Linked DNA regions of Cricetulus griseus. The protein of the gene in region 2 interacts with the protein of the main gene of each other region in a biochemical or structural test. Links are inferred from orthologs where the notes say so. Each region holds a gene or a part of one and is shown on either strand. Other genes may lie near its edges.

Region 1 (4,189 bases), about 170 Mb from region 2:
TTACTCTTAAATCTAAAATCCCATATGAGCGAGTACATACCATGTTTGTCTTTTTGCGATTGGGTTACCTGGCTCAGAATGGTTTCTTCTAGATCCATCCATTTTCCTGCAAATTTCAAGATTCCATTGTTTTTTTTTTTTTTTTTTTTTTCCGCTGAGTAGTACTCCATTGTGTAAATGTACCACATTTTCTCTATCCATTCTTCGGTTGAGGGGCATCTAGGCTGCTTCCAGTTTCTGGCTATTACAAATAGTGCTGCTATGAACATGGTTGAACATATGTCCCTGCTGTATGAATGTACTTCTTTTGGGTATATGCCTAAGAGTGGAATTGCTGGATCTTACTTTAATATCACCTCTTTAGGGAGGAGGCAGTGTGCTTGTGTGCATGTAGAAGGAATTATAAATGGTAATAGTTAGGAGATGCGAGTGTTGCATTAGACTGTCAGCTCCCATCCTTTCCCTGGGCCTTGCAGGATGGCTTACACAGGTGCTCAATAAATGTCACTCTATTAAACACAGGGACTCAATTTTTCAAATCCTTTCTTTGGATTTCTGCTCTTCTCCCAGTGCCCAGCCAATACCACATCCAGTCTGATGCAGTAGGCAAAGCATGTGGAGTCTGATAAAGTTCGACACCCCTCCGGTCCTCAGACCATTCCTTAGCCGTTGACAGCATCACACTCCCCCCATCTACTGGAGCCTATAAAGAAATGGACATGCACGTGAATGCCAGCACTTTTGACAGCTTTATAAACACATATCGGTGCTCAGAACCGTGCTTATACTCAAGTCCCACGAATACTTATTCAATCCAGGAGGTACAACCTGCCATTAAAGTCTCTAAGTCAGTAACGAAGAGTTATCAGGGGCTGAGGAGGGGAGGAGAACACGCGAATCTCGGAAGGCGTGAGAATCTCCGACCACCACACAGCGGGAGAGCACCACCTTCTGAAGCCCTGGGGAGTGCTCAAGCGGGTTCCTCTCGGGGTCCCCGCGGCACGTGGCGGGCTGGGGCCGGAGCGTCGCGGTGGTGGGGGAGGGGAGCGGCGTGGGCCCCGCGGAGGGGTCCAGACAGCCCGGGATACGTTTGAGCAGGCGCCGAGTGCGCAGGCTCAGTCCGGGCGCAACCAGTACCTGCAGATCGGAGGGGGAACCCGACGGCTGCGGGGGTCCGGGCTGCGAGCGCGGAGCCGAGATCCGCTCCCTCGCACCTCGGGACTGCGTACGACCTAACTGTCACTACACCCCTCCCGCCCCATCCGGCGGCGTCCACGCCTAACCGACCCCTGCGTCCGTCTGCAGACGCGGTTTCCCCTGTCACTCCATAGTGGTCGCGCCCGCCTCCCAGCCCCGCCACCCTGGGCCTCCCCCGCCGAGTGTCGCGCGTCGGCGCCGCTGCCACCCCCGCTCGGTGATCACTGCCTTCCCGGCTCCGGCTCCCATCTCGCTCCGGGCCGTCCTTGTTCCGCGGGCCGCCGCGCCCGCTGTCCCCTCAGTCCCCCTTGTCTGGCCGCCGGGCCGCGGCGGGCGGGAGCAGCCGGAGGAGGAGCCGCAGCCGGGAGGGAGGCGGCGTCCCGAGCCCATGGCGTACAGTCAAGGAGGCGGCAAGAAGAAAGTGTGCTACTACTATGACGGTGGGTGGCCGTGGAGCCAACGGCGGGGCTGCGGGGAGGGCGCGGCGGAGCGGACGCGCCGCTCGGGGTGTTAAGGGTGGCTGTCTGCGGGGACAGGGACACGGCCTACCCGGCTTCGCGGTCGTGGCCCGGAGACGGCCGCCCTGGCTCCTCTCGGGTCCTCCGCACGGGCACGCGCAGGTTTGGGGTGTACTGCCTCGAACCGGTCCCCGAGGAACCCCACTCGGCACCCCGGGCCTGACTACACAAAGCCGGCGGCCTGGAGCTCCGCCCCACGTCCCCGTCCCCTCCCCCGCTCGCCGGGTCCCCCTTCTTGCTGGCGATCTGTCTGTGCTGCGCTTCCAAGCCTCACCGGGACCCCGCCGCTCGGGTGGGGCTGCGGAGGAGTTACTCCTGGCGGGAGGCCAAGTTCGCAGAGCGGCGCTGTCTCGCTCGTGTTTTGCGTGGACTCCATCCCTCGCCTTTGTTCGCCGGGTTCTTTGAGCGCCTCTTTCTCAGGGTTCGGACTGAAGGGCTGCATGCACTTCCTCGGTGACAATTAGGGGTTTGGAGTTGGAGCTAGGCAGGCCTGTGGGGAAGTAGTAAGAGGAGGGAGGTAAGCTTGGAGTTGTTCCTACTAGATGGGTCCTAGCATGCCTCTGTGGGAGGTTGTTACCACCCACGTCTTTGTTGCTCTTTGTTCGATATGCAGTTATACCCTGCTCTGGGGGGGTTAGGAGAAAACATGGGCACCTTGCTTAGGAAGGGTGGTGGGGACCCTGCTGCAGGAAACTTTTGAGAAGTGAACTAAATATTCCAAACAGGTAGGGTGGAGCTCACAATGTAGTTAGTGAATGGTACAAGGTGGTGGTAAGGGGTGATTTGGAGTATGGGCAATAATTGTCTGAGTTCTATAGGCTGAGCAGGTCTCGGGTCTCAGTTACACTAAGTAATGCCCTGTCTTTCGGATTTCACCAAGACATTAGTAGATGACTGTTGAGAGAAGGAATAATTTGACAGAACTAGCCTCATTGCCCTGAAAGACCTGACTGATAATCTACAAAGCAATGCAAAGTTGGGAGCTGTTTTCTATATTTTTTGTGTTGAAGTCACAGTATCTTGGAGAGGTAGATAAGAGCCTAGAGATCCTAGGCTGAATGAAACTGACTTTAACTTGAAAATAGTCCTACCTATTCTTGGTTTGGTGGAAATTTTTAATGCTTGGATTTTTTTTGGGGGGGTGGTAGGGGGCGGTTAGAGACAGGGTTTCTCTAGGTGTATCCCTGGCTGTCATGGAACTCGATCTGTAGACCAGGCTGGACTTGAACTCCCAGAAATCCTCCTGTTTCTGCCTCCCAAGTGTTTGGGTTAAAGGTGTGTGCCACCCCTGTTGAGCATTAATACCTGTTTTAATAATAATGATAATAATAATAATAATGAAAGACACCCATGTCTTTGGCTGGAAAATCAAAAACCTTGCAGAAAGCTAGGAGAAAATAGAGAAGACTATCTAAATGACATTTTGTTTTGTTTGGGGGCTTTTTTTTTTTTTTTTTTTTTTTTGAGACAGCCTCTCTGTATGTGGTCCTGACTGCCCTAGAATTCACTATGTAGGCTGATGTCTCACTTACAGAGATCCATCCACATGCCTCTGTCTCCACGTGCTGGGATTAAAGGTGAGTCCTTAAAGGTGAGTCCTTAAAGGCGTGCCCAGCTTAAATTTCAGAGGACTATGTATGTGTTGAATAAATTTATGTGAAGTTACACCATCATGGAGGGAAGAGATGGGAGAACCTGTCAGTTTAAACTTGAATTACATTGTGAAGTTGGATTCATGGCAAACACTTGTCCTGCATTCTCTGATCCACTGGAAAAGATGTAACCCTGTAAATGAATTTGAAAAATTATAATTATAGCTTTTCTAAAGTAAAGGCTCGATTTTTGTTAGAAAGGTTTAACAGTCGGAACGGGTGCTTAGGACCTTCAGCTGTCAGCTGCTGTTGTCAAACAGGACTGTAGCTGTTTCCTGAGCAGCTATTGGTTCCTGAGTTCATGTTTGGAGGTGAGCCATTGTTGAGGGGCAGGATAGGCACTGGTCACAGAGATGGGAGGAATGGAGGAGGTTTTCAGTCATTTGATTTTTTACATATGCCTAGTTGTAAGCAACCAACTGTATAACTGATGGTGGAAGTCTGCTGGGTTATCTGTCTCTTGTCTGTTCTTACTTGGTGTGTATTTAGAATACACTTACTTAACTTCTGAATATTTGCATTTGGGGGAGCTAACAAAACCACAGAGATTCTTAAATTGATGTCATGGTTATGCTGATTAACATGGGATGACATGCTAGACTACACAAATTATTCTCTACACTTCTGTCTTCAATGCCAAACCCTATTCTTGTTTTCAAAAAAAAAGCAGTGACTTAATTGTCTTTTAAATTGTGGACAGAGGGTGCCAAGTAAAGTAATTTTGTATAAGAAAAGCATATGACTTTTAGATGCACAAAGGGTTGGGTTGGCAAAGGGCAATACCAGTAGTAATGGGACTTGAATAATATACTAGTTTAAGCT
Region 2 (4,342 bases):
TTAAAGGCCGGGTGAGAAACTGCACATTCAGGCAGCAGATAGCATCCATCAAGCAAAAGGCTTCTGGGCAAAAACACAGGCGCCTGTTTGCTGCCCTTCTCTGTGATCCGGGAGATGGAGAAGAGATACACCCCAGCACCTAAGAAAGCCCTAAGGAATCCACAGCCAGCCTATGAGCAGACAGACACCAACCCTCCTCCACAGCGCTGGTCCCCTTACCTGTGTGAGTTCGAAGGTGTGCCTTGAGATGAGAACTCTTAGTATAGGTTTTGCCACAGCCTGCATAGTCACAAGTGTGGGTGGCAGTTCTTTTCCGGGGCCACGACCTTCTTCCCCTCTTTGGTTTGGGCTCCTCTGGCAGGCAGGAACCCGGTGGCATGAGCTCTAGGTAAAGAAAGTGGGGGGTCAACTTTCATTCAGGAGTCTCCGAGAACTTCCCCCCATCCCATAGGCAAAACTCCCCAGCAGCAGCTCTACCAATCCCTTCCCCCACTGACCTTGGTAATGGAGAGATGAGACTTGAGACGGCATCTGGTCTGGCAGGAAAGGAGGGTAGTTGGGCCCCGGATGGGGATGGAATCCTGGCGGAAGAGGCAGGCCAGGGTGACAGTCCCTGCTGTTCAGCAGTTCCTCGGGACTCATGGTAGGGGTAGTCCTGGTGGGGAGCTGCCGCCCCAGGGGGAAGTCGTGTGTGCTGGGCCGGTGCCCGTTGCTGAGCTGAGGTCCAGCGCCCAAATGGGTCTCTAGGGACCGGCCGACTGTGCAGGAGGAGACCGATTCTTGCTTAATCTTGGGGCACATGCGCGGCGGGCCACCGCTGTAGGGCGCCACCACCACAGGGTGGCTGCCGTCCGGGCTGCCTTTGCTAACACTGATGACCGACGGGCTGCTGTACTCGCTGCCAGGCGTGCTCAGCGAAGCCTTCAGCACAAACTTGCCCATCAGTCCGCCACCTGGCGGCTGAGGCTGCTGTGGCGGAATGTACACTGGGTCCAACTCCGGCCGCAGGAGCTCGGCCACGAAGCCGCCCGAGGGGCTCACGTCATTGATGTCCGCCAGGTTGAAGGGGGCCGTGGGAGGTGGCGCAGACTCTCGGGGGTAGAGGAGCCCTCCACCTGTGTTGCCGGCAGCCACGCCCGGGTCACCTCCAGCCCGGATCGGATAGTTGAAGCTGCAGGTGGAGGGCGCGCTGGCAGGGCCGCTGCTCGCCGGGGAGGACGAGGATGAAGCTGAGGCCGAGGAGGTCACAGTGGCGGCCACTGATTCCTGGTGGGATAGCGAGTTGGAGAGGATAAAGTCTAGGTCCAGGAGATCGTTGAACTCCTCGGTCTCCCTCCGGGGTAGGAGGGCCGGGTTGTTACTGCTGCAAGCTGCGCCAGCTCCACCACTCTCCAGGTCTGTGGCCACGGTGGCCGCCAGGTCGTATGGGCGGCCGGGAAGTGGAGGAAGTCGCTTCATGTGAGAGAGCTCCTCTCGCCAGCGCTGCCAAGGACAGAGAGGGAGAGAGAAGTGGTTAGTTGTAGCCCCTTGCTGCCACTCCTAGTATCGACTTGGATGAAGCACACCAGACTCCTGCCATAGGAACTGGACAGGGCAGGAAGGCAGCTCCAGGGACTCCAGGTGCCAGCGCTTCAATCTCAGCCAGCACCCGGGTAAGAGGCGGCCCGTCGGTTCCACCTCAAACTAGTGCGGCACCTCCGCCAGCCCAATTTTCTTCCCAGCCAGATCCTCGAGACGCTCCAGCCGCCCACGGAATTGGGACACTAGGACATTGTGGCTTTCTCCCATGCACCGTAGCCACCCGGTCTCCTACGCGCTAAGCTCACTCGTGCCCAGAGGGTCTCGAGACTTGGCCACCAGTGGTCCTCGTGCACCCACCCCACGGCCCGGACGCCGGGAGACCAGCGAGGAACCGCTGTGCGCCCCTGGCGGTACCGTAGTGCCGGGACCACACGCACTTAAGGCCGACTCAAGGGCCGAGGAGCCACCCTGGGAAGGCTGTAGAGTCTCAACGGAGGGCAATTCTTGTCCTAGCCAGGGGCTCCTGGTTGACCCCTGGATTCTGCCCATCCACCCCATAACATCCCCAGAAATCTACCGGGCACTAGCGCGACACTCACGTTATTTGGGGCACCTGCTGGACGCAGTGTCTTCTCCCTTCCCGCCGGGCCGGACGCGAACGTGGAGAAGGACGGGAGCAGAGCGTCGCTGACAGCCATGTCAGACTCGCCAGGTGGCTGCCTGCGGGCCGGGCGGGGCGCACAGGGACCAGGAGTCAGGGGCTACCCTGGCCACTGCTCCGAGGTTTCCCACCAATTCTCACCCTTTAATGTTCCCCTAGCCCAGCATCTTACCTACCTCATTAATGTGGGGGCCCAGAAGGTCCTCCGGAGTCCGAAGAAGAGAGAGGGGTACCCGAACCCCAAAGTCAACGAATATTAAAAACAACTTTAGAAACGAAACCCCAAACCAAAAACCCCAAATTCCCCGAGATCCTTCTTCTTTGGATTCAATATAAACCGGAGATGTCTTTTTAAAAAAGTTCCTTTGTATACAAAAATGCTTAGAAAAGTTGTAAACTCTTAAAAAAATAGACAATCAGCAAGGCAAATAAGTAGGTCCGATGGCCAGGCTGCACGCTCTTGGACTCAGCAGTGTCCCCCACCGTTGTCGCGGCCACTGTGGCTGTCGGCGGCTCAGGGGCTGTGGTCCGGGCGGTGGGCGGGCGGCGCCGCCAGGTGAGAATGGCCGCGGTGGCGCGGAACTGCGAGCTGGGCGGTGGCGCGGGGTGCGGAGTCCTGGGGGCTGCGCCGGGTGCACGCGGCCATGGGCGCGGGTCACGGGCGGGTGCTGGGTGGGGGGCCAGAGGGGCGGGGAGGGGCACTCGGCGGCTCCCGGTGCCGCCGCCGCCCGCCACCGCCTCTGCTCCCGCGCGCCCGGAGCCGCGCTCGCTCTCTCGGCCGGGGAACTGCCGGCGGCCGCCGCGCGCTTCTTACTTATAACTTCTCGCTCGCTCGCTCCCCCGCCTCCTCCCCGTGGCGCGCGGGGCTCCGCCGCCAGGCCCCGCCCCTTGCCTTTCTTCTCCCCGCCTTCCCGCAGCCCCCCTGCGCGTTGCCATGACAGCTAAATAAACAAACTCCGCGCACGTGGGGGCGGGGGCGAGGGAGGGGCACGGGCGGGGCGGGGCTGGGCCGTGACGCCAGCCGGGCAGCTGGCGGGCTGGAGCCGTGCTGACGCCGGCGGCGGTGGCGGCGACGGCGGCTTCGGCGCTAGGATCCCGGCGTTGCTTCAGTGGCACGGCGATTTAGGGTCCTCTGTGCGGCCACGGTCGAAAGCCCGGTCACGGGAACCCTTGCCAGGACAGGGTTGGTGGGGAGAGGGGCGGCGGCGAGCCCCTACTCCTGCTCGCGGTTGCTCCTGTCGACTCTGCTCACCCAAGAGCGCGATTATCCGCGTGACTCATCCAGCCCGCCCTCCCTCGCATACGCACGCAGAGGCCGGGCTGTGCCCGTGGGGCCTCTTGCAGGGTTGGGGATAGGGGCCGGGTGACGGGGGGCTAGGAGTCTCAGGAGCTCCGAGTAGGGTCTGCTATGGAGTAAAAAGGCCAGGATGGGCACGTAGTTACAGTTTTGATAATGGAAAGAGCAAGGAAGGGAGTTAAAGGATTCCAGATTTACTTGCGGGGAGTGGGAGCGCAAGGAGGAATCCAGGCGCAGAGATACCTTTCACCAGGAATCTCAAAGCTCTTTACAGGCTACGCACTCGCACTCTCAGTTTGAAGATGAGAAAAATGAGTCATAAAGAGGTGAAGCGGCGAGGTAAAGGTCACAGGACAACTCGCTCCCTTCAGTTTAGGTTTCGAGCTGGCCAGTCCACTCAGAGGGACTTTGCTGGGAGGTGACCGTGTGCTGGGAAATGGAGCACTGCGGTGGGACCCTAGTTCTCTAAAAGTGGCACCCAGGCCCTTGGCCCACCGGGAGGGGAAATGGCAATCGGTCTTTATTTCGGTCTTGTAACTCCTTTTCCCATCCCCACTACCTTCCTAGTGCGTGATCAGTAATTTTCCAGCCGGAATATGTTTTCGCCCTCATCTCTACAAACAGTACTTAAAAAAAAAAAGTAAAAAAAAAAAAAAAAACCCAAACCAAAACGTGAGTGTGGTGTTAAGAATCACTTGCTAATGAAGACTGGGTGTTTACTTTGGATTTGGGCGCACATAGTTGGGCTCCACCGCCCTCAAGGTTGAATCTCCTCGCTCCTGGCGGAGTCACTTGAAGGCAGGGGGTTCAGGAAGATAAGAAAGGGACTTAGGAAAGGTTCGGTGCTCCAGCACAGACAGTGT

What was found. The genes of interacting proteins can lie anywhere in the genome.
Region 1: the proteins of Klf4 (region 2) and Hdac2 form a complex in vitro, tested with the Homo sapiens proteins (2 studies listed by BioGRID). The link is inferred for Cricetulus griseus from reciprocal best matches to the Homo sapiens genes KLF4 and HDAC2.

Annotation. Positions count from the first base shown.
Region 1 is NC_048595.1:259,837,544-259,841,732, forward strand, and holds the start of Hdac2 (histone deacetylase 2), read left to right. Parts: upstream 1-1,370; 5' UTR 1,371-1,585; coding exon 1,586-1,637; intron 1,638-4,189. UniProt on the Homo sapiens protein: Histone deacetylase that catalyzes the deacetylation of lysine residues on the N-terminal part of the core histones (H2A, H2B, H3 and H4).
Region 2 is NC_048595.1:88,330,860-88,335,201, reverse strand, and holds the start of Klf4 (Krueppel-like factor 4), read right to left. Parts: upstream 2,841-4,342; 5' UTR 2,364-2,840; coding exon 2,359-2,363; intron 2,242-2,358; coding exon 2,121-2,241; intron 1,483-2,120; coding exon 498-1,482; intron 385-497; coding exon 220-384; intron 1-219. UniProt on the Homo sapiens protein: Transcription factor; can act both as activator and as repressor. Binds the 5'-CACCC-3' core sequence. Binds to the promoter region of its own gene and can activate its own transcription.